Arabidopsis thaliana: one gene and its partner. The protein of the gene in region 1 interacts with the protein of each later gene in a pairwise test. Each region holds a gene or a part of one and is shown on either strand. Other genes may lie near its edges.

Region 1 (5,465 bases):
CTTGAGGGCCAAAATCTTTGCTCTAAAACGAAGAAAAGTGAAAGCTCCTGGAATTGTGTCCTTACCAGGAAAGAGGAAGGAGAGATCTATATCTTCTTTGGTTGTGAGCACACCTATGGTGTCAGCACAAGCTGGAACAACGAGAAGAAGAACTAAAGCACCTACAAGAAAAGAGTTACGTAATGGTTCTTTGGCTGAGAGAACTGTGAAGAAGGAAGAATCTTCTGGGGATGAGCTTCTGGAGAGCACAAGCTCACCCGACACTCTTAACAAATTCACTCAGAATAAAAGACAGTCAAAGAAGGTGATCACTGAACTACTCTATTTTCTCGTAATGACTTCATATTTGACATGATTTGGTTACATATTTATTTTTGTTTGGTACACTTCAAAAGTAAATATTCAGTAAAAATATTTGATACTGTTATTGGTCTCACATTCATTTGAGTTATTTTGTTTTTTGCAGTCATGTAAAGAGTCCATCTCCAATAAAGAAAACAAGGATGGTGATGAACCCTGGGATTCCAAAATGGATTGGAAACCTTTGAACTTTCTGGTTGAAGTGGCAAATGGGACAAAGCCCTTGAAGTCTTCTGCTTCTCAAGGGTCAGGTTCAAAATCTGAGCACGCGAATGTATCTCGCAATCAATTTCAAGGGAGTAAAACCAAAACTAAGAATAAAAAGAGAAAATGTAAACGTGAGGATGACAAGAGTAATAATGGTGATCCTACAACATCAGAAACTGTTACTCCTAAAAGAATGCGTACAACTCAACGCAAAAGGTCTGCCACCACTTTAGGCGATTCAAGGAATTTGCCACAACCAGATGAGTCAAGTGCAAAACAGGAGAGGAGAAATGGTCCCGTTTGGTTCTCACTTGTGGCGTCCAATGATCAGTGAGATTTTTGCTCTCATATCTGAAACTATTTCCTTTCATGATCTTTCTCTCTTTCTTCATTTTGTTTCTCTTCTCTTGGTATATTGACAAGGGCTTACTGGTTACAGGGAAGGAGGAACTTCTTTACCTCAAATTCCAGCAAATTTTTTGAGAATAAGGTAGGTTACAGTTTAGGTATTCTTTGTTTTATATATCCTGTGTTGTCGCTGCATCTTACATAGTCCCTCATTTTTCTGTTATGAGGAATTCTTTTGTTGGGGAAGATAATCCAATGTCTCATTCTGTGATAGGGATGGAAATACAACAGTTTCTTTCATCCAAAAGTACCTCATGAGGAAGCTAGATCTCGAGAGTGAAAATGAGGTAAGGGTCTTTATATGCACTATGGCACGAGAAAGGATAGAACGTTTGAATATAATGGAACTTATATGTTTGGTTGATAAAAAATGGACATACTTATGGTTTATGTTCAGATAGAGATAAAGTGTATGGGAGAAGCGGTGATCCCAACGCTGACGCTTTACAATTTAGTGGATCTATGGCTCCAGAAAAGTTCAAACCACCAACGGTTTGCTGCATTGGTAGGTTCTTCTGCAAAGGATTTTACGATGGTTCTTGTCTATGCTCGGAAGCTACCAGAGTGCAACATGTAAAGGACTTTAAAGACTCATGTTGTTGCAGAAGAAGATTCTGTGGAGACAGGGTAATCTTTTCTTTTCGGTTTATGGAATCTCTCAAAGCATTACAAGAGAGAACATTACTAGAACTACAGGAGCAGTCGAATGTGTTGTGAAATTAGTATTAATATTTTTTTCTATAGACGAAATATACACTCATGAGTCGCTTTTCTGTGCAAGAAAATACAAAATTTGTTTCCCTTTTCTTTCTTCTTCTTCTACTATGTGTCCTCTCTGGACTTGCATGTAACATTGTTGTCACTTTCTAATCAAATGTTGTAGTTTAAGATGTTTTAGATTGATTTATATGCATTTATTTGGGTACTACATCATTTCTATGGAAACTAAGGTTTTCAAGAATTACTGTTCAAGTGTTGACTGTGGATGACGAATGTAGTAGAACTGTGATGACCTATATGGAGGTAGAAAACTACCAAATTAACTACATAAAACTTATCTGACAAAAGACGAATGAAGTTCATTATCACTATTTTGTGTTATCGTGAGTACCACTATGTGGTGACAACCATCATGCTTAATATGAGTAACATATTTATATAACAAATTGTTATGATGTTCAAAAAATGTTACGAGTATGCAATTTAACAGATTCTTTTTAATTCATGCTTTACATATAGCCATGATGCTTAACGATATCCAAAAGAAAACAAAAAAAAATCATTGAAGAGATTGCACCTAGACTAGATTGCCTCTCGGATGACCTTGTACATGTGTTGCTCTTAAGAAACGTAATCTATGCATCATAACTAAAGGAAAGTTATACATGTGTTTTAATATCAATTAAAATTGGTTGATTACATACTTAAACTAGTAAATCACAATCTATGAATAATCCGGACTCTTTTTAACATAGACACATGACACATCAACAAGTAGTGTGCAACATATTCTAGAGGATGGTCATCTTAGGTAGTATTCATTCAAATGATTTTGGATCAAAAAGTAATTGAAATCCCACGTTTATTGGTTCGGTTCACTCCTTGATTAGTCAAGTTTCATATTAACATAATTTTCATCGAAATTCTCTTTAGCATTATTCGAAAAACCAAATATACTGTAATACTAGCAAGAAAAACAATAGTTTTGACATATCTTGCTTCATAACCGAATATCTCATTACAAAATAATCCATTTTTCACGTTTAGATAATCAAACGAACCCTCACAGAATTTTCTACACAATGCAAAAAACAAAAACGAATTTCATCGAGTATATCACGAGTTATGGTCAAATGAATCGAGTCTAAAAGCACAACAAATATGACCAAAGCATCTAATCCACATCCACTAACTTACTCATCCCACCATCTACACTCCTTCTTTCTCTGCCGTCGATAAAATTTGATCCAACGATTAATATTCAAACCTGAGAAAAGAGTAGCGATCCGCGTAGTCATTGTTTTAACCAATCAGAAGCCAGATATGAATTGCCGTCTAATACACATCTAACTATATAAATCGGACGTTTCCAATGATCCTCTTCACAATCCTCATAATCACTTTCGAAATTACATTTACGCTTTCTTGCAATCAAATTTTCCGATCTTAAGTTCAGAAGACGATGTCAGAGGTGGAAATAGAGAACGCTGCTACGATCGAAGGAAACACCGCTGCGGATGCGCCGGTGACGGATGCGGCCGTTGAGAAGAAGCCTGCAGCGAAAGGACGAAAGACGAAGAATGTTAAGGAAGTGAAGGAGAAGAAGACTGTTGCTGCCGCTCCGAAGAAGAGAACTGTTTCATCTCATCCTACTTACGAAGAGGTAAAAATGAGATTCGATTTCGTTTATTCGTGTTTCTTATTAAGCCGGATTCTGATTTTGGAATTTAGAAATTGATTTTTGTGTTCTTTGTTGATGCGATTTCAGATGATTAAGGATGCGATTGTTACGTTGAAAGAGAGAACTGGATCTAGCCAATACGCGATTCAGAAGTTCATCGAGGAGAAGCGTAAGGAGCTTCCTCCAACATTCAGAAAGCTGTTGCTTCTCAATCTGAAGAGACTCGTTGCTTCTGGGAAGCTTGTGAAGGTCAAAGCCTCGTTTAAACTCCCATCGGCGTCGGCTAAAGCATCATCCCCTAAGGCGGCAGCGGAGAAATCTGCTCCTGCGAAGAAGAAACCGGCGACTGTGGCGGTTACCAAGGCGAAGAGAAAGGTCGCTGCGGCTTCCAAGGCTAAGAAAACAATCGCCGTTAAACCTAAGACTGCTGCTGCTAAGAAAGTGACCGCGAAGGCTAAGGCTAAGCCCGTTCCTCGTGCCACTGCTGCTGCAACTAAGAGGAAAGCTGTTGATGCGAAGCCCAAGGCTAAGGCTAGACCAGCCAAGGCAGCCAAAACGGCCAAGGTTACATCTCCGGCTAAGAAAGCTGTTGCTGCCACGAAGAAAGTTGCTACGGTGGCCACAAAGAAGAAGACTCCGGTTAAGAAGGTTGTGAAGCCAAAGACGGTTAAGTCTCCAGCAAAGAGGGCTTCTTCTAGGGTTAAGAAGTGAAGTTAGGGTTTGTAGGTAGAAGAATGGTTAACGATAGTTTAGACTTGTATAATTCAATCATCTTTATGCGACTTTGTTTGCTTTTCTTCTTTCAGTGTTCTTGTTATTCACAGTTCCTTTGGACTACCCCTTAAATCATATATAGATTTCATCAATGAAGCAAACTCGAGTTTCTTTGCAGCTAATTTGTGTCAGGCTAGTGCTGTTCTTGTTGAGTTATAGTAAACATGGATGTTATTATACAATCAACAAACTTTTACAACATTGAAGTTATACAATGAACAAGTTTCTGTTCTTCCTTGTCAACTCTGCCCTTGTTTTCTATGTTTACCATTTTCAGCTTTTGGTGTTGTTGATGAGATGTTGTTTAGATCTTTTTTCAACTTTCTGAATGGAATATTTGAGTTCCTGTTGAATGCTAAACCTTGAAGGTGAAAGAACAATGTCTTTCCAGATTGAACCTGCTTCACAAGCAGGGTTGGGTTGTCTATAGAGCTCGTAAATGGAGCCTGCGTTCTCGTTTAACCCTCCTACTCGCTTCAAACAATCTATCTCTTCTGTATCTACTAGCAATGTCTTTTCCTTTTCTTTCCAACCTATCAGCTGTTTCACAATCACACTTCACCTATTAGTATTTTTCTTATCTACTATTATCTATGCACCATTGATAAGATGTTCTTGTTAACTCTTAGTGCAGGAGAACTATAACTAGCCTAGGGGTGAGTTGGGGCTTTCTAAGTTGGTCTAGGATCTTGGCTTAGGCATTGGTCGAGAGTTTGAAATTTCTCTTGTTCAAATCGGTTAAGTTCTTTGTTGCATTGAGTTAAAGTATAAGTTTATCGGTTCCAATTTCAAAACTAACCTTTGGAGAGCCTTCCAGCGCGTTAGTGCAGTAGAGCCTAGCATTGTCGACAAGGCTGCAATATGTAGGAAATGCTTCCGCAAACCGTTTGTGAGATCTCAGCTGTGATCTCACCCTAACTGCTCTTCTGCACATGATAGCTCTCCTACAATCTCAGCCAAAAACACTCTTTTAAGTTAATAAGAGACAAACTTGAAAGATAGATTGAAAGATAAGATGGTGCTTTGTACTCACCTAATGCCTCTTATAACTGCTAAATACGCATCGCACACAACTCCAACTAGTTCTATTCTATACGGTTTTCTCCTACGACCATCCTCTTGAATCTGTTGCCTTTCACCAATTCGTTCCCAATAGTTCTCTGTTATAACTCCATCATCACCAACCTTGTATCCAGCTCCCATTCTGTAATGGTGTCGGTGTACGTTCCTCGCCATTGTTATTGTCTGCACCACAAAAGGTACCCAAGAGAGTGTCCCATCCATTATCACATCCCTTCCTTCGTTCAGAGCCGTC
Region 2 (6,725 bases), on another chromosome or scaffold:
GAGAGATTACCATCCAAAAGGTCGAACTTATATAAAACAAGTTAATAACTAAACAATACATGTGATCACAATCAATGACAGTTTTGATCTTAAAATAGAAATGATTGAGCAAACCTCAAAAATGTCTTCTTAGGATCACAAAATCTTTCCTTTAGCTTATTAAAGCCGGGAGTTCAACTCTCTCTCCCTTGTAGACTTTTTGTTTTCAAATCTTTTTCTTTCAAAAAATCAATAATTAGTTAATGGGCATAATATTTGGTTTTAATTAAGTCCATAGATTTTTTAGGACCATCTCTAATCACGACAAATATCCTAAATTGTAACACATTTAAAACTTAAAAGTATTGCATTCACAATCCTTAAAATATATATATATATATATATATATATATATATATATATATATGAAAGTTATATAGAAACGATAACTCCTTACTCAACAATTAGCCCAAAAAAACATCCATAATGCATTTAAACTAGGAATTTTAACAAACTCAAATAGGTTGGTAGTTAAAAAAAAACAAATAGTAGATGTACATACGTACCTTTAAAAATATATACTCATATCGAAAGTTTTAAATTTTGCGAAATTAAATACATTTATCTATCAATTAAAATACATTTAATAATGCATAATTCTGTAATATCTATCTTTAATTTCCATATAGAACCAAAACAAAATAAACATATCAAATAGTTTTAACTTAACAAAAACGTTAGGGAAAAGTTGACCTAACTAGCTTGATTGACGTTGAACTTGTCAATGCGAAAGCGATATTTCCAATATATACTACATGTAGTATTATTTATATGGAAGTTTCTAAAAAGGTGTTGAGTGGATTGTTACTTGTTGGAGGATGCTATTTTTTCCTTCTTGCCATAATATTTTACGAGTATGGGATAACTACATACTCATGATTATGAAACGCTCACTTTATTTGAAAAACCTCCTAATACACCAAATATGTCACTAGATTCCAAAACGTAGACCAATTGTATCTAATCTCAAATTCTCAATCAAAGTATTAATTTACCGATGGTAAGAAAAGTTAACCGATATAATTATCAAAAGAAAGAATAAGTCAACAGATTCTTAATCTCTTTATTTTGGTATATGAACATTTGTACAAAAATCTCAAAAGATATGTAACTGTTTAAAATATAAATTCACTGAGATTAATTCTTCAGACTCGTGTTAGCTATAATAATGTCAAGAGTTCTTCTTGTTTCAAGGAAAAACCTTAAAGATATGTATATTTTCTGTAATTATGATGATATAATTTGCTATTCATTGTCACAAACATTACTTTAAAAAATCGTATTTTCATTACTACAATGTTGACTAAGAACAAAAATACATTGATTATTGATATATCGTCAACTGAATTTTCTTCCGAGGGATATAATTCTCAAACATAGCAAGAATCTCATAATAATGTTTCGTGACTACCTTTAGACGAAATTTTTTTAAGATTCGTAACGTGACTTATGGTCTCTTGCTGTGGGGGTCAATGCGAATAAATCTAAATGTATGGGAGTCAAATAAAATACCAAGAAAAATAAAGGAGCAGCACCCAATAAACTATATGGGACCAGAAATCCTTTCATTGGTTTAAAATAGGATTATCCCGAAAGATGAAGGACTAAATTGAAACTGATTGGGGGTAGGAAGAGATCCGTCACAATCATTAATGGCTTCCACGCGGAAACTTGTCGTTTATACAATTTCATTAACTTTCGGGTCGGGTTTATATTCCAAATGGGTCAAATAATATTAGTTTAATACACTAACGGAGTAATTAATTGGTGACTACAATTTTATCAGTTTGGTGCAATTAGAAACGAACATAGTCGTAAAATACGAGTTCGGTGTTATACCTTTATTTACGTTAAAAAAATACGAGAATTTTGTGTCAAATTTCAAATTAATTTCATGAATATATGGAAATTATTAGATACTCTAGCGAAAATAGTGATTATGAGCGTTTTACAAAAATACGATTTTAGCATTGAACTTCCTTTATGTAATTCGGTCAAATGTTGGCATGAAGAAGCAAGTTTGCAACATTAAATTTCATTTAAAAATCGTGTTGACATACTTTAAAATCTAAATATAGGAAGAAGACCAAAACATTAAATTTAGTAAGATTCTAATGAACATTTATAAGTTATAACTTATAACCAACAAAAGTTGGGTTTAGCGTTGTTGCTTTATCTGAAAACTTGCAAACTAAACCATTTTAATAGGACTAATGACAATTAACAACAAAATACACTTAAGCAACAACGTCCTCGTGAATATAATTTGGGCCTCAGGCCCATATTGCTAACGCCAACTGATATTTCACTTTATTCCTTCTTCATCTCACCACACTCTCTCTCTATCTCTATCTCTAACGGCATAGCTGACTCAGTGTTCTCCGGCATTGACTCGCCTGAGAATCAGAAAGCTTAGATCGGTGAGCTTTTAGCTCCATTTTCTGTTTATTTACATATTATTTCCTTTTTTTCTCTCTCCCTTTTTTATCTGGAATTTGTTCTGCTAAATTTTCCAGCTGTTACATTTTCCGATCACGAGAAGAATCACTGGGTTTTTATGTTAATCAATACATGTTCCTGTTTTCTGATCATAAATCTCAGCTATTAACACCTGATTTTGATTCTGCGTAATAAAAACCTCTGATTTGCTTTTATCTTCACTTTCCCCATAAACATTGCTTACTTTATTCGCTCTTCTTTTACCGTTTCCAGCTAAAAAATTCTTCGCTATTCAATGTGTTTCTCGTTTTGTTGATGAGAAAAATATCTGACAAAAAATCATTTATTGCATTTTATGGTGCAGATTCTTAGTTAATGTCGCCTTCTCTAACCAAGTCAGATTAAAAAGGAGTGTTCGTCCATGTTGCTTTGTTTTGGTGTTTGGAGAGAGTTTTCGGAGAGTTAGGTGAGTGTTATTTGGGGTGAGGTAGTGATAAGGTTTGAAGGGGGAGTGATTCATCAAGTGTGTTATGAATTCGAGGGCTGATCCGGGGGATAGATATTTTCGAGTTCCTTTGGAGAATCAAACTCAACAAGAGTTCATGGGTTCTTGGATTCCATTTACACCCAAAAAACCTAGATCAAGTCTGATGGTAGATGAGAGAGTGATAAACCAGGATCTAAATGGGTTTCCAGGTGGTGAATTTGTAGACAGGGGATTCTGCAACACTGGTGTGGATCATAATGGGGTTTTTGATCATGGTGCTCATCAGGGCGTTACCAACTTAAGTATGATGATCAATAGCTTAGCGGGATCACATGCACAAGCTTGGAGTAATAGTGAGAGAGATCTTTTGGGCAGGAGTGAGGTGACTTCTCCTTTAGCACCAGTTATCAGAAACACCACCGGTAATGTAGAGCCGGTCAATGGAAATTTTACTTCAGATGTGGGTATGGTAAATGGTCCTTTCACCCAGAGTGGCACTTCTCAAGCTGGCTATAATGAGTTTGAATTGGATGACTTGTTGAATCCTGATCAGATGCCCTTCTCCTTCACAAGCTTGCTGAGTGGTGGGGATAGCTTATTCAAGGTTCGTCAATGTGAGTGATCAAATCTATTTTCAGTTTTTTTTTTTCCCTTTCTTCCGTTCTTGCAGTACTTAGAGTAGAACATGAATTAGAATATCTTAAGAAAGTCATGGTTTTGAACAGATGGACCTCCAGCGTGTAACAAGCCTCTTTACAATTTGAATTCACCAATTAGAAGAGAAGCAGTTGGGTCAGTCTGTGAAAGTTCGTTTCAATATGTACCGTCAACGCCCAGTCTGTTCAGAACAGGTGAAAAGACTGGATTCCTTGAACAGATAGTTACAACTACTGGACATGAAATCCCAGAGCCGAAATCTGACAAAAGTATGCAGAGCATTATGGACTCGTCTGCTGTTAATGCGACGGAAGCTACTGAACAAAATGATGGCAGCAGACAAGATGTTCTGGAGTTCGACCTTAACAAAACTCCTCAGCAGAAACCCTCCAAAAGGAAAAGGAAGTTCATGCCCAAGGTGGTCGTGGAAGGCAAACCTAAAAGAAAGCCACGCAAACCTGCAGAACTTCCCAAAGTGGTCGTGGAAGGCAAACCTAAAAGGAAGCCACGCAAAGCTGCAACTCAGGAAAAAGTGAAATCTAAAGAAACCGGGAGTGCCAAAAAGAAAAATTTGAAAGAATCAGCAACTAAAAAGCCAGCCAATGTTGGAGATATGAGCAACAAAAGCCCTGAAGTCACACTCAAAAGTTGCAGAAAAGCTTTGAATTTTGACTTGGAGAATCCTGGAGATGCGAGGCAAGGTGACTCTGAGTCTGAAATTGTCCAGAACAGTAGTGGCGCAAACTCGTTTTCTGAGATCAGAGATGCCATTGGTGGAACTAATGGTAGTTTCCTGGATTCAGTGTCACAAATAGACAAGACCAATGGATTGGGGGCTATGAACCAGCCACTTGAAGTGTCAATGGGAAACCAGCCAGATAAACTATCTACAGGAGCGAAACTGGCCAGAGACCAACAACCTGATTTATTGACTAGAAACCAGCAATGCCAGTTCCCAGTGGCAACCCAGAACACCCAGTTCCCAATGGAAAACCAACAAGCTTGGCTTCAGATGAAAAACCAACTTATTGGCTTTCCATTTGGTAACCAGCAACCTCGCATGACCATAAGAAACCAGCAGCCTTGCTTGGCCATGGGTAATCAACAACCTATGTATCTGATAGGAACTCCACGGCCTGCATTAGTAAGTGGAAACCAGCAACTAGGAGGTCCCCAAGGAAACAAGCGGCCTATATTTTTGAATCACCAGACTTGTTTACCTGCTGGAAATCAGCTATATGGATCACCTACAGACATGCATCAACTTGTTATGTCAACCGGAGGGCAACAACATGGACTACTGATAAAAAACCAGCAACCTGGATCATTAATAAGAGGCCAGCAGCCTTGCGTACCTTTGATTGACCAGCAACCTGCAACTCCAAAAGGTTTTACTCACTTGAATCAGATGGTAGCTACCAGCATGTCATCGCCTGGGCTTCGACCTCATTCTCAGTCACAAGTTCCTACAACATATCTACATGTGGAATCTGTTTCCAGGATTTTGAATGGGACTACAGGTACATGCCAGAGAAGCAGGGCTCCTGCATACGATTCTTTACAGCAAGATATCCATCAAGGAAATAAGTACATACTTTCTCATGAGATATCCAATGGTAATGGGTGCAAGAAAGCGTTACCTCAAAACTCTTCTCTGCCAACTCCAATTATGGCTAAACTTGAGGAAGCCAGGGGCTCGAAGAGACAGTATCATCGTGCAATGGGACAGACGGAAAAGCATGATCTAAACTTAGCTCAACAGATTGCTCAATCACAAGATGTGGAGAGACATAACAGCAGCACGTGTGTGGAATATTTAGATGCTGCAAAGAAAACGAAAATCCAGAAAGTAGTCCAAGAAAATTTGCATGGCATGCCACCTGAGGTTATAGAAATCGAGGATGATCCAACTGATGGGGCAAGAAAAGGTAAAAATACTGCCAGCATCAGTAAAGGTGCATCTAAAGGAAACTCGTCTCCAGTTAAAAAGACAGCAGAAAAGGAGAAATGTATTGTCCCAAAAACGCCTGCAAAAAAGGGTCGAGCAGGTAGAAAAAAATCAGTACCTCCGCCTGCTCATGCCTCAGAGATCCAGCTTTGGCAACCTACTCCTCCAAAGACACCTTTATCAAGAAGCAAGCCTAAAGGAAAAGGGAGAAAGTCCATACAAGATTCAGGAAAAGCAAGAGGTAACTAATGTATTCTACAATCTCTGTGATATAATTTTGAGATTTTAGTAACTGATGTGTCCAAACCAGCTCCTTATCACTGTTGGTGCGTTGTATAGGTCCATCAGGAGAACTTCTGTGTCAGGATTCTATTGCGGAAATAATTTACAGGATGCAAAATCTGTATCTAGGAGACAAAGAAAGAGAACAAGAGCAAAATGCAATGGTCTTGTACAAAGGAGATGGTGCACTTGTTCCCTATGAGAGCAAGAAGCGAAAACCAAGACCCAAAGTTGACATTGACGATGAAACAACTCGCATATGGAACTTACTGATGGGGAAAGGAGATGAAAAAGAAGGGGATGAAGAGAAGGATAAAAAGAAAGAGAAGTGGTGGGAAGAAGAAAGAAGAGTCTTCCGAGGAAGGGCTGATTCCTTCATCGCTCGCATGCACCTGGTACAAGGTGAAGATCCACTTCTCTTCTCAACTCCATTTTTATTCACACAAATTAGTAGAATACTCAAAAATGATGTTTTGTTTGCAAAATTTTAAAATTCACTAGTTAACCATGTCAAATAATATTCATAATGCATCTTGTGAAGAACAGGTGTGCATTTATGGTGACAGCTGAATGGTTTATGTGCCTATTATTTCTTTTACTGCTATAGATGACCAATTGAACTTAAACGTTTACAGGAGATAGACGTTTTTCGCCATGGAAGGGATCGGTGGTTGATTCGGTCATTGGAGTTTTCCTTACACAGAATGTCTCGGATCACCTTTCAAGGTATATGAGTTGCCTTAATAAATTGAGTTCCAAAACATAGAAATTAACCCATGGTGGTTTTACAATGCAGCTCTGCGTTCATGTCTCTAGCTGCTCGATTCCCTCCAAAATTAAGCAGCAGCCGAGAAGATGAAAGGAATGTTAGAA

Evidence for each region. Proteins that work in one complex are often made in the same cells at the same time.
Region 2: the proteins of AT1G06760 (region 1) and DME interact in a two-hybrid assay, tested with the Arabidopsis thaliana proteins (one study listed by BioGRID).

What each region holds. Positions count from the first base shown.
Region 1 is NC_003070.9:2,075,309-2,080,773, reverse strand, and holds AT1G06760 (winged-helix DNA-binding transcription factor family protein), read left to right. Parts: upstream 1-3,006; 5' UTR 3,007-3,157; coding exon 3,158-3,358; intron 3,359-3,463; coding exon 3,464-4,087; 3' UTR 4,088-4,270; downstream 4,271-5,465. Other genes in the region: DRIP1 (DREB2A-interacting protein 1), read left to right, coding at 1-304, 467-897, 1,007-1,057, 1,190-1,262, 1,373-1,552; AT1G06750 (P-loop containing nucleoside triphosphate hydrolases superfamily protein), read right to left, coding at 4,424-4,690, 4,950-5,094, 5,184-5,465. UniProt on the Arabidopsis thaliana protein: Histones H1 are necessary for the condensation of nucleosome chains into higher-order structures.
Region 2 is NC_003076.8:1,306,778-1,313,502, forward strand, and holds the start of DME (HhH-GPD base excision DNA repair family protein), read left to right. Parts: upstream 1-2,336; 5' UTR 2,337-2,459; exon of another isoform or gene 2,460-2,842; 5' UTR 2,843-3,008; coding exon 3,009-3,579; exon of another isoform or gene 3,580-3,690; coding exon 3,691-5,811; intron 5,812-5,909; coding exon 5,910-6,254; intron 6,255-6,487; coding exon 6,488-6,578; intron 6,579-6,648; coding exon 6,649-6,725. UniProt on the Arabidopsis thaliana protein: Transcriptional activator involved in gene imprinting. Catalyzes the release of 5-methylcytosine (5-meC) from DNA by a glycosylase/lyase mechanism.